2 linked regions of the Caenorhabditis elegans genome follow. The protein of the gene in region 2 interacts with the protein of the main gene of each other region in a pairwise test. Each region holds a gene or a part of one and is shown on either strand. Other genes may lie near its edges.

Evidence for each region. The genes of interacting proteins can lie anywhere in the genome.
Region 1: the proteins of nos-1 (region 2) and klp-3 interact in a two-hybrid assay, tested with the Caenorhabditis elegans proteins (one large-scale study listed by BioGRID).

What each region holds. Positions count from the first base shown.
Region 1 is NC_003280.10:7,839,158-7,846,153, forward strand, and holds klp-3 (Kinesin-like protein klp-3), read left to right. Parts: upstream 1-3,195; 5' UTR 3,196-3,259; coding exon 3,260-3,316; intron 3,317-3,492; coding exon 3,493-3,631; intron 3,632-4,116; coding exon 4,117-4,324; intron 4,325-4,458; coding exon 4,459-4,784; intron 4,785-4,876; coding exon 4,877-5,163; intron 5,164-5,211; coding exon 5,212-5,342; intron 5,343-5,389; coding exon 5,390-5,531; intron 5,532-5,574; coding exon 5,575-5,677; intron 5,678-5,727; coding exon 5,728-5,925; intron 5,926-5,973; coding exon 5,974-6,074; intron 6,075-6,121; coding exon 6,122-6,226; 3' UTR 6,227-6,496; downstream 6,497-6,996. Other genes in the region: Acetylcholine receptor subunit alpha-type acr-7, read right to left, coding at 6,507-6,626.
Region 2 is NC_003280.10:10,949,761-10,956,868, forward strand, and holds nos-1 (Nanos-type domain-containing protein), read right to left. Parts: upstream 3,406-7,108; coding exon 3,355-3,405; intron 3,309-3,354; coding exon 3,207-3,308; intron 3,156-3,206; coding exon 2,919-3,155; intron 2,852-2,918; coding exon 2,741-2,851; intron 2,698-2,740; coding exon 2,617-2,697; intron 2,570-2,616; coding exon 2,489-2,569; intron 2,441-2,488; coding exon 2,268-2,440; intron 2,219-2,267; coding exon 2,119-2,218; 3' UTR 1,832-2,118; downstream 1-1,831. Other genes in the region: gst-5 (putative glutathione S-transferase 5), read left to right, coding at 653-785, 1,313-1,803; spe-57 (Serine/threonine specific protein phosphatases domain-containing protein), read right to left, coding at 3,834-3,910, 3,960-4,037, 4,101-4,178, 4,229-4,547, 4,915-5,047, 5,094-5,185, 5,246-5,401, 5,447-5,638 and 4 more.

The DNA.
Region 1 (6,996 bases), 3.1 Mb from region 2:
TTTTATTTGATCGATTATCAATAAATTGAAGCATATTATTTATTTGCAAATGATACTCAAAAAGATAACTTCATGCATGAGATAAACCACACCTAACTTTTTATCACTTGAACTAGTTATCCGATCGGATAAACTTATCATATCGTGAGTATATAAAGCATTCTATTATAAACACATTTTACACATTTTATTTGTTTTAGATATTTTGTATGTTTTCTTATCAAGCTATAATTTTGCTTTCACTTTTAAAAATGAAATGTACATTTTTAAAAAGTATCTCTCTTTTAAATTACTGCCAAAATGGAAGCTCTGTTTTTTTTTACATTTTAAACATAAATATTGTTGGACTTACTAAATCTTATGACGGCATTTTCAGCCATGTAATGAGTTTCCAAAAACTGATTGAAGTAGCTAATGTTCTCAGTTTCCAGGAAATTACAATATTCAGTAACTTAGTTCAGTAACTTAGTTTTTTTTCTAAAAAATCTATATTTTTAGTTTGAAAAAATCTACACAGAAGACCTGACCAATAATTTGCCGGCCACCAACTAGTAGGAAAGGTTCTTCGCAACGCCTGTTTATTTATATTATGCGTGTGCCCCTCTCCCTCTCCCTCAACCTCATACTTCACTTCTCTAATCCTCTATGAATTTATTTCTCCAGGCGGTACATATACTCATATCCTTTCTCCTTTCTGTTCATCCTTTCTGTTCATCCGATGCCTCTCTCCTTTTTTCCGATTCTCCCTGATCATCGTTTGGTGAGGTCGCCACCCTCACCGTTATTATGTACAAGTTGTATGAACATGCCCGGTTTGGGAGGTGATGGTAATCCATCCGTTTCACGGAAACTCACTTTCATTTTGTACTTTCTGTAGTTTTTCGTTGTTGTCTCTGTATTAAGCTGATGACTTTGGAAATTCAAAAAAAACTAGGGACTCAGTTTGGAGTGCATTTCAATTTGAAAAACGTCGATTTTAAGTTCTTTCATCGTTTTTCCCTATATTAGCTTTGCATCCCATTACCAAATTTTAACAAGTCATATTTTTGTTACCATTTGTTTTTTTAAGTGTCAACTAATAAAGTATGTATAATTTCTTTCTTTATAGTTTTGTTTTTAATTATTTATTGATATATCTTCGAAATAAAAATAACCTTTTAAAATGAAGTGAAAGTGTGAACTACTAATCAAAAATGAGGTATGTGTCTAGATTTCAAGAGCACGAAAGATATTGGTGAAGCAATTTTTAAAAATTATTCTAGTTCAATACCAACATTTTTCTTGATGTTCCACATTTCGAACTCTTTCCCTATCTCTCTCTCTCTCCTTCTGCGCTTAAATTCTCCAAATTCTCATGTTCTGTAATTAGCGGTCTTGTCGTGGTCATCACAATTACACGGAAAACTATTTGTTTGTGTTATGTAATGTGTATGTTCTCGCCATAAAACAAGAAATGAAACCTGAAAAACGAGCAGAAACAATTGGCTTACTGCCTATTACGTGTGTGTGTGCCCGTTCCGCGTCCCTCTCATTTCCGCCCAACTCCGCCTACTTTCGTCTCTTTTCGATCACTTTTCCGCATCATTTTGATCACTTTTACAAACACATTCATGCCCGTAGTCCACCACCATCATCGCTTAACTCTTGAAATTTCTGATTGGTCATTGAATTTTGTCTTGGAACTTCCATCATTGAACACCAATCCAATTTAGACTTTTCCTTGTATTTATATGCCTATCGCCTGAATTTCTCTGATCTAGATGCTACCCAAAACAGACTTTTTCCCATTTCGTGTCACTCCTTTTTTGTGGGTCACAACTAATAAATCATGTTGCTCGTCGGTTTCTCGGAGCACACTCCATCCTTTTCCTTCTCATCAATTCAATGTGAATCGACATGCTTCTTCTTTTTTCTTCAGATTTCTTCACTACCGTCGTCACTTTTCGTTTTTTTTTCTTTTTCAACCACTTGAAAATGTGAAAATGTGCACTAGAAGTTTATGAGCTCTTGTAACCGAACACAGGCTCGTTTGTGAAAATGTGAAATGGAATGATGTTGGAAGAAAGAAAAGAACAAATCATGAGCTCCGGGTGATGGAATTCAAACATTTTTCCACAAATCTTATTGGCTTTAGTCAGAATTCTTCGTTCGTTATTCTGTAGAGTGACCCGAGTCAGACAAGCTTAATGAAATCATCAATATTCATTATAAACAAATTGTTTTAATTTATTTAAAGATCATTCTTTATATTATCAGAAAACAAGCTCTGAGTTTTTAATAACCATTTATTCAAACCTCCAAATATTCAATAAATTGGGCTTAATTTCTGTTTCAAAATGTTTTTTAATCAACCAATATATTCTCATCAGTTGTTCTATGAAAATTCTATACATTTACAAGAATTTTGGAGCGATGGAATAAACTAGGTTATAGCAAGTTGATGATACCTTTTCCACTATTTGAAACTCGACCGTTCTGTGAATTTTCTATAAATACAAAATTAACCTCATTCATGAAAGTGCTTGACGGCAAACAAAACAGTACCGAGATCAGATCACAAATAATTTTCTCTTCCTTTTTGTTCAATGTTCTGCCATCAGTCTACATTGTATTCAATTTCATGTTTGATTTGTGCGCCTGTTTCGCTACAAGCTCTTTCTCTGTGCCCTTTCAACTTTTCATCCTCCTCATTCCTTCTTCAATTTTTATTAGTTTACCTTCTCTCACTTTTTTATGACGTGGAATCACTGTATTTGCAGAGATACTTCTTCACCTTTTTCTCCATATTCGACCAGTTCTTTCACTTCTTCTCGGTTTTTTCTTTTCTTCCCTTTTTCCGCTAATAATACCTGACCAACAATTCATTTTCGGCTTGGTCTTGTATAGAAGACCACTTGAGATACTTTTGAATGCCATTCAGTTGCTATATTTTACTTTTTTTTGTTTTTTTCCTGTTGTTTTAGTTGCTAACTAAAAGATTATCCTTTTTGATCTGGCTACGATATAGTAGACAGAAAGAGAAAGTAAAAAATCGAACGTTGTTGACATTTTGTTCACTTTTTATTTCCTTTTTCAATTTTACATACTCTTAAATATGTTGACTATCCTCTATGTTTCTAAATGAACACAAAAATTTTTGTCTCCGTTTTTTGCGTTGTTTTCCTCAACCGCTGCACCCTAGAATTACTGTTTTCCAGAAAAAATAAACGATCGACACACATAAACACAGGAGTCTCTCACTCCATTTTTGACTTTAAAAATGGATTCGCATGTCGGCGAAGTCGATATTTTCCAACAATGCAAGTATATTCATGAGGTTTGTTCTAATTTCAGTTTGTTTTTGGTTTAACTAGTGTCACTAGTTGCACAAAGTTTGAGAGAATATTTTAAGATTTTTTTTTTCTGAAATTGATTGAACCATTTTTCACTGAGTTTATTAAAAAATTGTGTACCAGAATTCTAATTCACATTCCAATTATTGTTCAATTTCAGGTGGAACTCGTAAATATGAAGTTGCAAATGCGAATTCTGGAGACACACATTGAGACAAAAGACCGACTTCTGAGAAATTTAGAAGATATTATAGACGAACAAGAGTCACGAATTGCAAATATGGAAGATTTTATTCAAGGTACGCACTGTCGTGTGTAGTGAATTTTTGTGAAGTTTTGCATGATTAAAACCCCGTATTACTTATCCGTAATCTTAGACACTTACTTGATATATTGTCATGAGTACCGTGTTTTTTAATCCCAATTTTTTGATCGTCGTGTGATTTGGCTATCTTTAGCTCAAAAGTGTTATCTTTTAATACGCATTTTTGTTTTTTCTTAAAGTAATTGTGTTGTGGTGGTCGGATTGGCATGATTTTATAGTGTTTAATCTTTATTATTTTCTACTTGGTTTTTTGGTTGACAGTGCCTTTTTTCAATTTCACATATTCTACCAAAATCATTTCAATCCGGCCGATACTGATAATATTTTTCTAACATCATTACATGTTCACTTTAATTTCGCAAGTCCAAACAAAACTTACAACAGCTTATTTCTAAACAATAATCTAGCAAACGGCTAATTGGAATGATCAGGTTATTAAATGTTGAAATTGAATTGCAGGCCGTGCCACGTCATACACAAATCGGTCAAATATGCTGAAAGGAATTTCAGTTCTTTCACTGGATTTCGGAAATCTTTCGGAAGAAAATCTACGATTGAAAAATGCGCTGAGCCAAATGCAAAAAGTGGCAAGAGTGAATGAGTTATTGGAAACTGATGAAGATTATGAAAGTGATATGACAAGCAATGAGGATCGATTTGCTTTGAGGTAACCATTTTATTGTAATGTGATTGTCTTGTGAAAATAGTTTGAACACTTGAATTTTTTGAAAAGTAGGTCAAAAATGTAGTGTAATTTATTTTCCGTTTGCAAGCCTTTGCATGTTTTCCTGTGTATTCCAGCCGTGATTCTTCATGTTCGGTTCCCAGATCAGTGAGCCCCCAACCAACGGGTGACGTCATAAAGCCATATCCTCAAATGGTTCAATCAATGAGAGAAGAAGGGCATTGGAAGAAACTTCAGAGATGTGCAGAAGAGCTGAAAACTGAAAAAGATGAATTGAAGAGACTAGCATTGGATACAAAAGATGCATTCAATGTATGTATGGCTGAAATGAGAATGATGCTCACTTCAAAGACAACTGATTTCTTCCGAGTTCTCATTGAAAGATACAAAGCAGAAATGGAAAAACGAAAGCAATTACACAATCAATTGGTTGAGTTGAATGGTAAGTTCTAAATTGATTGAAATATTCCAAGAAATCGGAATGATTGATCTTTATAACTACTTTCCAAAAAACTAAAATTTTCAATTTTTAAGGTAACATTCGTGTATTCTACCGTATCCGTCCACAACTTGCATCAGAAACTGACAATCAAAAACCAGTTGTCGTGATAGATGAAATGGATAACGGAGTTGTCCACGTGTCAAACACAACGGGAACTCGGAAAACTAGTGCTGGAGCTGACAAGGTTATTCCAACTGATTTCTCGCAAGATCAGATATTTAATGAAGTTTCTCCGATTATTACATCTTGCATTGATGGTTATAATGTATGCATATTTGCGTATGGACACACCGGAAGTGGAAAAACATACACTATGGATGTAAGTTTAATTAAATTTTCAATAGAACTTTAAATTTCCAATTTTCAGGGTCCCGTCACAATGCCTGGAATCAATCAAAGAGCTATTATGCAATTGTTCGAAACTGCGAAGGAGAGAACGGGCGATATAAAATATGATATTAAAGTTGCCATGATGGAGATATACAATGAAAAAATACGGTAAATTGACTTTTTTTTTAACCTAAAATTGCAAATTCATTTTTCAGTGATCTCTTGAACACTTCCAACACAAATTTGGCAATTCGTCAAACTGAAGAAGGGAGAAGCTCAATTCCAGGACTTGAGGAAGTTTCAGTGAACTCTGCAGAAGAAGTCACGGAAACGCTTGCTAGAGGAAGAAAGAATAAGGTGAATTTGAAACAACTTCATATTCTAAATTTTCAATTTTCAGGCTGTAGCTGCTACTGAAGCCAATATTGAATCCAGTCGTTCTCATGTTATTGTTAGAGTTTTAGTATCGGCCACAAATCTTATAACAAAAGCAACTACAGTTGGTATGTCATTTTTCAAGTGAAAAAATATTTTGAATATATGATTTATTCAGGTCGTCTGAATTTGGTAGATCTTGCTGGATCAGAGAGAGTTTCTCAAACGAATGCAACCGGTCAACTGCTAAAAGAAGCTCAAGCTATCAATAAATCTCTATCTGAACTTGGAAATGTTGTACTTGCTCTTCGCCAGAATCAAAAACATATTCCATTCAGAAATTGTCAATTGACAAGAATTCTTGAAGATAGCTTGAGTGAGTTTCATAATATATTGGGATTTCCCTTTTAAATATTATTTTCAGATGGAGACAGTAAAACTCTGGTCATTGTGCATTTATCACCAGATGCAAAGAGTTTGAATGAATCTATTAGCAGTGTTAATTTTGCTGAAAAAATCGGACAGGTATGCATTTATGCCTTATCACATTTTACAAAAATTAAATGTTTCAGGTATTCACAAAAAGTGGAACGATGAAAAGAGAACCAACACGTAGAAGTATGACTGGAATAAGCAGTGGTCAACGAAGAGAAATCCCAGCATCTCCAAGAAAATGAACCTCATAAAATATCAAATATTTCATCTCTACTTCTCCAATAATCATCTTGTCAAATCCCTGAAATACCCGCTTACTCTTTCCATTCTAGTCCATGAAAAATTTCAAAAATTCAAAATGGGTTCCAACAATTTTTTTTTTCTAAAACTGCTGACTGACCAAAAAACTTGAAATACGGTTTACTTTTTCAAATCTAAATATATCCCCCATTTTTATTATTTGCAAATTTGTTTATGTGTGAGCTTTGAAACAATAAAAATATTCATTTAATATTTTTTAGTTCAATCCAATATTTTGATAGGTGGAATTGCAACAAAAATGAAGCAACAAATTATAAAAACAATTGTGAAGATTATAAGGCAGAATCGGTCAACTGCTTGAGCTGCAAACTTCCATTCGTCCTAAAATTTGAAATAAACATTGTTTTTTTATTAGGCCTGCATGTAGGACTATTTTTTATTTGCTGGTAAGTGTGACTATAAGAGACTGGAATGGTAATAGAGGAAATAAAGTATTGAACTATAAGGTTGATCTAACTCTAAAAAGAAATGTTAATAATGTTGTCAATTGTATAAAATAACTTAAACCCTATTTTGGGGCATATATGACAATATAATACATGCATTACATTTGACCGAGTACGGTTGGCTCTCTCTATCTATCTCGTTGTCCAGACCAGACTCATTTTTTCCGCGAAGTACTCTATGCCTCTTCCCTCTCTAAAAGAGACTCAGACAGTCCAAACAGAAGGACATTCTCTTCCACGGCCAC
Region 2 (7,108 bases):
ACTTTTTCGCAAAATACAAGCTGATGTGCGCCTTGAAAGAGTACTGTAATTTCAACCTTTCGTTGTTGCGGAATTTTCATAGTTTCTCGTTCAAAATATATGTATTTATTAAACAAAAAACTAAAACAAAACAATTGAGAACACATAAATTGTGAAAAATCAATGAGACCACAGCAAAAAATTTTGTATCTACAGTACTCTTTAAAGGCGCACATCCGTTCTTATTTTCAGCAAAAATGTCGCTTCGAGACCGGGTACCGTATTTTTTTTTGTGCAAAACTTTAGGTCTAGGTAATATTAAAAAAAAATTCCACAAAACTAGAATCTAGAGCTTTCCATTAAATTTTTTGATGACATTTGAAAATTCATGATGATTTTTTTCCAACAATTTCGAAATATCCCTCTTTTCACCTGGTCCACTGAATTCTCTTTCCGAAAGACCACCACAATTTCAGGGCTCCGCCCATTTCGTGGTTTGTAGCCTTCCCGACCCTACGTTTTTGATGACAATTGTGAGAGAAGTGAGAGGTTCAGACACAAAAAGCGACGTGGTCGAATGAGTATAAATAGAGAGTGAAGTTTCCAATTTCCCTCACAATTGTTTGTTTGCAATCCACTTTCCAAAAAAACACAACTTCAATCAAAAATCATTATGGTTTCCTACAAGTTGACCTACTTCAATGGACGTGGCGCTGGAGAAGTGTCTCGTCAGATTTTCGCCTATGCCGGACAACAATACGAGGATAATAGAGTCACTCAGGAACAATGGCCAGCATTGAAAGAAAGTGAGTTTGGAATTATTATTACTCAATTGTGAAGGCGCCTGGGTCTCGAAACGACTTAAAATTCGCAGTTACCGTAACCAAATTTTTTTTTGCGATTTTCTATGATTTTTTTCCTGATTTTTTTCTACAAAAAATCATATTTTTTGGGTTAGTATTAAAAAATTAAGTGAATTGCAGTTTTGGGTACGGTACCAGTGAAATTTCGGTCGTGCCGAGACCTATAGTTACCGTATTTCAGCGCCGGAAATCTCAAAATCCTGCAATTAGGGAATATCTACAGTTTTGTGGAACAAAAACATGAAAAGCGAAAAAAATCACTTCTCGTGGTCTCGACACGATTTCTACATTTTTGACCAATTAAAGAATTCACTTCTTTTGAAAAACTATACTTTTTCCATAATTTTCTCAAACATAAGCTAAATTTTTTGTAAAATAACTTTGTAAAATAGCTTAAAATCTTTTCCTTTTTTTAATCCAAGAGAATTATTTTTTGAATAAAAAATATTTTAAAAAACTATTTTTTCCAGCCTGCGCTGCTCCATTCGGACAACTTCCATTCCTCGAAGTCGACGGTAAGAAGCTTGCTCAATCCCACGCGATTGCTCGTTTCTTGGCTCGTGAGTTCAAGCTCAACGGAAAAACCGCCTGGGAAGAGGCTCAAGTGAACTCTCTTGCCGATCAATACAAGGATTATTCAAGTGAGGCTCGTCCATATTTCTACGCTGTCATGGGATTCGGTCCAGGAGACGTTGAAACTTTGAAGAAAGACATCTTCCTTCCAGCATTTGAAAAGTTCTACGGATTCTTGGTCAACTTCTTGAAGGCTTCGGGATCCGGATTCCTTGTCGGAGACTCTTTGACCTGGATTGACTTGGCTATTGCCCAACATTCAGCTGATTTGATTGCCAAGGGAGGTGATTTCAGCAAGTTCCCAGAGCTCAAGGCTCATGCCGAGAAGATCCAGGCGATTCCACAAATCAAGAAATGGATCGAGACCCGTCCAGTCACACCATTCTAAATAGCTGTATAAAATCTGCAAATAAATATTTTTTTTTTTTAAATTCAGTTTATCAACATGTCAACAGTGTTCGCTAAGCGATAATACAACTGGAGAATTGGAGAACAGAAAACAGAGAACAAAAAATGAAGAAAATCAACAAAAAGAAAATTAAACAATTTCGAGATCAATATGCGAGGAGGTGCGAATAAATGTGAATTTTCGGGGGGCAGGATAAAACATGGTGGGATATGTAAATAGATTATGTGAATATAATGTGGATGCATAAAAATATAACACGAACATCTTTCGAAAAATATATATTATATATACATATTAGTCGTCTCCAAACGCCTCCAGGTGATGCTTCGTTGTGTGTGCGTTATCGCCAGTGGCTCCACAGATTCCACAGACCATTGAGCGAAGTTTTGGGCATCTGAAAAATGATAATATCTGTTGAAGGTCGGAAATTTCAACAAACTTACACAACTCTTCCCCTTTTCTTCGAGCAGTGATCGGACCATGGTCCACGATCATCTTTCCGTGGAGCTGGCAAAGTGTGAAGTCTCGCAAATTCGGAAGCGGTTCCGAAGCAGAAGCAGCAGCAAAGTGGATGTGGAGGATTTCCTCTCGGTGGCGAAGTGGAGTTGTTTCGCTGCTGAAAAAAATGGACTTTTTCGAAAATCATTTGATTGGAATTAGTTACCTCTCGATTCTCAACATTTCCATTACGAGTAGAATTATTATGTACATTCATTTGGGGGTTGTACCCGTGAAATCCAGAGTTCTGGAAGATAGAAAAAATTTAAAATAATTGATTTTTTATTGACTAACCTCTCCAAACGGCATAGTCGATGGTGGCAGAAGATTGTTTTGCTCCAAATATTCCTGCAGTGAAAGGAACTTTCCGGCGTTCTGAATTCAAATACGTTTTTTAAAAATTAATAATTAAAAAAACCTTGTAAGTATTGTCAGTGCTGCTACAGCTTGAAGATTCTGAGGTGGAAGTCCTGTTCGAAACCATATCGAAGCTTCTTCTCTGGAACGGAAAATCTTGAGACATCCGGCGCTGTAATGAAGATATATATTATTAAAAACCGAAATGTTAAAGAATAAGATGTTAGAAAGATGCTTACTTCCTGTCCGATGGCTCCAAACGGACATCCCAAAACCAGCGAAACCATTGGATCTTCGACATCGACAGCTGGAGAGGCTTGAGCTGGCTGCTCTCGAAACTCGGTGATGAAGTTATCGCCCACGAGGTAATCTATCAAGAAACTGTTACTCTTCTGCCGCTTCTTTTCCTCCTGCATTTTCACGATTTTCCGAGCAAGGTAGCACAAAGAATCGACGGAATTTACAACTGGATCGATCTGAAAATAAAAATCTCAAATGAAAATGAATTATTCAGGTTTCATTCCAACCAGTTTTCTAGCAGTTTTTTTACAAGGGGTGCTCCCTTCCAGAGTGAAGATTGGCGGAAATGAGGATCCGTTGGCCTGTGGTTTCGTATATTTTGGTTCGATCTGAAATTTCGGGTTTATTTGGTGAATTTGATCAGTTTCAACTCACCGGAAGGCTCTTCTCGCGCCGAGACATCGGAGAAGTCCTGAAAATCAACATTTTGTAGGATTTCGAAGTTAAAATTAAAGTCGAAGGGAAAAAAGACGGGTAAAATAAAGAAAACGGGTGAATATTCTTTAATTTGTGTTGGAAAAATTAATACTTTAACATTTTTATTATAAAAATAAACAATTTCAGTCGGAAATTGACCTTAATTTCAAAAAAATAACTTGAAAAACAGAATTTTAGCGTGAGAAAACAAATTGGGGCCGGTGCAGGTCCCGCCTGGAATTTTAAAGGCGCAATGGTTACTGTAGTGAGAAAATTTTAACTGTGATCAGTTGACATCACTAAATCAAAAAAATCAACAAAAAAGATTTCCGAAACAGATTTTCTCTGATAAAAAAGGGAAAAAAATTTAAAAAAAAAACGTCGAAACAATCCATAAACTCATTTATTCGCGAAATCTCTAGTTAATTTTCATCAATTCAAGTTTGCTTTTCCATTAAAATCGGTGTAATGACCAAGTCCTTGGAAATCGAGAGAATTGCTCCAAAGTCTGAGCCTGGAAAAAATAATTATAGAGAATATTGAAAAAGAAACACTGAAATTACCATATCCCGGAGCCGACCACAAGTTGATGAGCCGGTTGTTCCAGCACGGAAGGTAGCCGTATGGCACGTAGGATTGTCCTTAATTAGAAAATTAAATATTTAGAAAAAACTGTGAAAATTATAAATTATCAATATTCTCACCTCGAATCATAACATTACATCTCGTCGCTTTGCAAGCTCTCTTGACAGCCTGCTTCCCAAACCAATCGCCTTCGGTATCTGAAAGTTCAGATAAAAATTCAATTTCATCCTTTTTAGTAAAATCATACTTGGATTCGGTCTATACATTCTGACACGATTCGATGGCTGATTGAAGATGATATGTCGCTCGACCGCGTTCATGTGCTCTGCAGTAACCGGTCGGAACAGGTGATGAATGTGCCCCTTCTCTCGAATCATTGGAGAAAATCCACTGTAGACGGCGAGCACAGATTTACCAATAATTGCAGCAAATGGCATATGTGTACACATTCTTTTAATACAAGATTGAACGGCTCTTGTGATGACTGGATGAAGACGAGTCGACATTCGGAACGGAGATGTTTCGGGTTCTCCTCGGAGAATAAAGACATGCTTCGGGAAACGACACTGAAAAATGCTGGTTTCTTGATGAAGAAAAATGTTTTATTGATTTGAGAAATAAATTTATTCCAGCTAAAACTTTTAAAAAGGCGCCAGAAATGGTCGGGATACTGTAGTAGTATTGTAGGGTTACTGTTGTCAAAAACGCTACTATCCAACTCTCGCAAATCTCCCTGTTTGAATTCCCTCAACAATGAGAACTACGACCTACAGACTACAGAACTACAGAACTACAGAACTAGAACTACACGGCCAATCAGCAATGATTGGCTTCGCTCCAACCAATCAGAACGAGCGTGCGAAGATCGAAGACGATGATTGGTTGGGCGCTGCTCCTGGAGGAAATTCAAACAAGCCATTAATGAGAATCCACCTTCAACGAGCAAATCAACGCAAGACACTCGACCGATCCAGACTCCCCGCTATCCAAAATTCCACCCAGGAACAAGATTCGATTATGAGGAGGCCATCCGGTTAGTTGCAGCCATCTATGCAGGTCAGCGTATCTGGAAAAATTGAAGTAGATCCTAGATTCACAGGAGTGTTCTGAACCTTCCACGAATATCTCCGATCACTGTGATGTCTGCTTCAATCTGGAGAAGAGATGGTTCCTCGGCCATTTTGAATGCAGTTTCTTCGAATAACTAGAAATTATAGAAATTACTTTCTCCAAAACCTTAAAGCCCTGTGATTTTAAAACTCACACAAAGTAGCTCCAAAGCTGTAAATGGATATTGATAAGGACCATGTTCAATCATTCGATAAAGAAGATCATATGGTGAGTTGATCGTTCGAACTGTGCTCCAAAGTGTGTGTCCCCAGCCCTTTGCTTTAGTTTTCAGCGGAGGTTTTATGAATACCTGAAATTGAAGAAATAGGTGGTTGTCCTAGAGTTAATCCTTTACCCTTCTCGTTCCTGATCCCGCGACCACCTCACTTTCAACTACCGCAAGTGATTGAGCAGACTTGGATTTTGAAGATTCTTCTGTTGAAACTGACTTCATTCGGGAATATTTGACCTTATCTTGATCCGGAAGTTGTGATAAAAGATATGCAGTTTCCTTGACAGTGAGGCGTCCAGTCACTTCCAGGCCGGTCTGAAAAATTGAAGTCTAGGTATGAGGCAAAATATGCTGCAGGCACATGGAAAGACATGAAACAGGAAAGGAGTTTGACAGAAAGGTAAGCTGGCATGAATCAAGTTCTGAGGCCGCAGGAAAATATAGGCAGGCGTGTTGTTAGGCATAGACAGGCACGAGGCAAGTAGGTAGGTATGAGAAAGCTAGGCGAACATGAGGCTATCATGAACCAAGTATTCCGGCCTGAGGCGGGATTATATATAGGCAAGTAGGTAGGTAGGCATGGGTAGGCACGACAAAAGTAGTTGGGTAAGAGAGAGGTAGGTAAACAAGCTTGTGTAGGCAAGGCTGTTACAATTTTGGCGCAAGAGATAAACTCTCGTCACCAAAACATCTCCAAAGAAGAATCCGATCTGTAAAACTCACATCCACAATAGTACTATCCTTGAAACTGGATTCTAGAATCAGCTCGTGCTCCAACTCCCTACACTTCTGTCCTGATTGTGACATTTGTTTGGATTTGAACCAACTCATCACCTTTGTAACAATACCATAAACCATCAATATCCCGATCAACGAAGTCACAACAAAAAGAAGAAGATGCTGAGAATTGTACTTATTCCTCATAATTGCCAACATACTCCAATTTCTTCGGAACCAGTAACGGTGCGAATACAGAACGGGCTCATTACAGTATGGTGTGAAGCAGCACGTCTTGCGAACAAAAAGCCGCGGATTTCGAGTAGTGTCGCCTTTTATCATGTAGTCTATTGTGTAGGCAGATCCATAAAATTCCTTCACACTGCATTGAAGTTTTTGAAGTTCAGGGCTGCAAAGAATGTGTTTAAAACTTCTCGAAAAACTCTAAAATATCAGATATAACAAAGGGAACACAACAAATTTGGTTTGTTCGAGAAAATGATTCTCAAACTACTTGGTTGACCTACGTGCCTACACATCTACTTAGCAGGCTGCCTACTCGCCTACTGCATGCCTAAATACCTTCCACATTCCACAATTTTCCCCCACATTAAATTTTCTTGAACATAATCTAATTTTCCCATGTTTCTTTTGTTATATTTGGTATATCTGTGAGCACAATTTCTAAAGGTCACTACGTTGAAAAAAGGAATAATGTAGACATACTTGAAGCTTTTGCTCTCACAACCAACTCGATAGTAGAAGTCAAAATCGTATCTGAAATTTTGAAATTTAAGTTTTAATATGTTTCAGAGTCACTAACTCTGAATTAATCTTGTATCTGGAAACTATTCTCTTCTGAACACACGCACTATTGCAACGAACCACACGACTTTTGTCGTACTTTGAGTAGCACACTAGATCGTCTGAAAATTTTTTTGAATTTGATATATACAGATTTCGACCTACTGTTCATCTCATCATATCTAGGATCCAATGTAGTTGTATTTTTAGCAACTGTTGCCATCAGCAAATGAGCATTGATCAGTAGTACCATACATTTTTCGA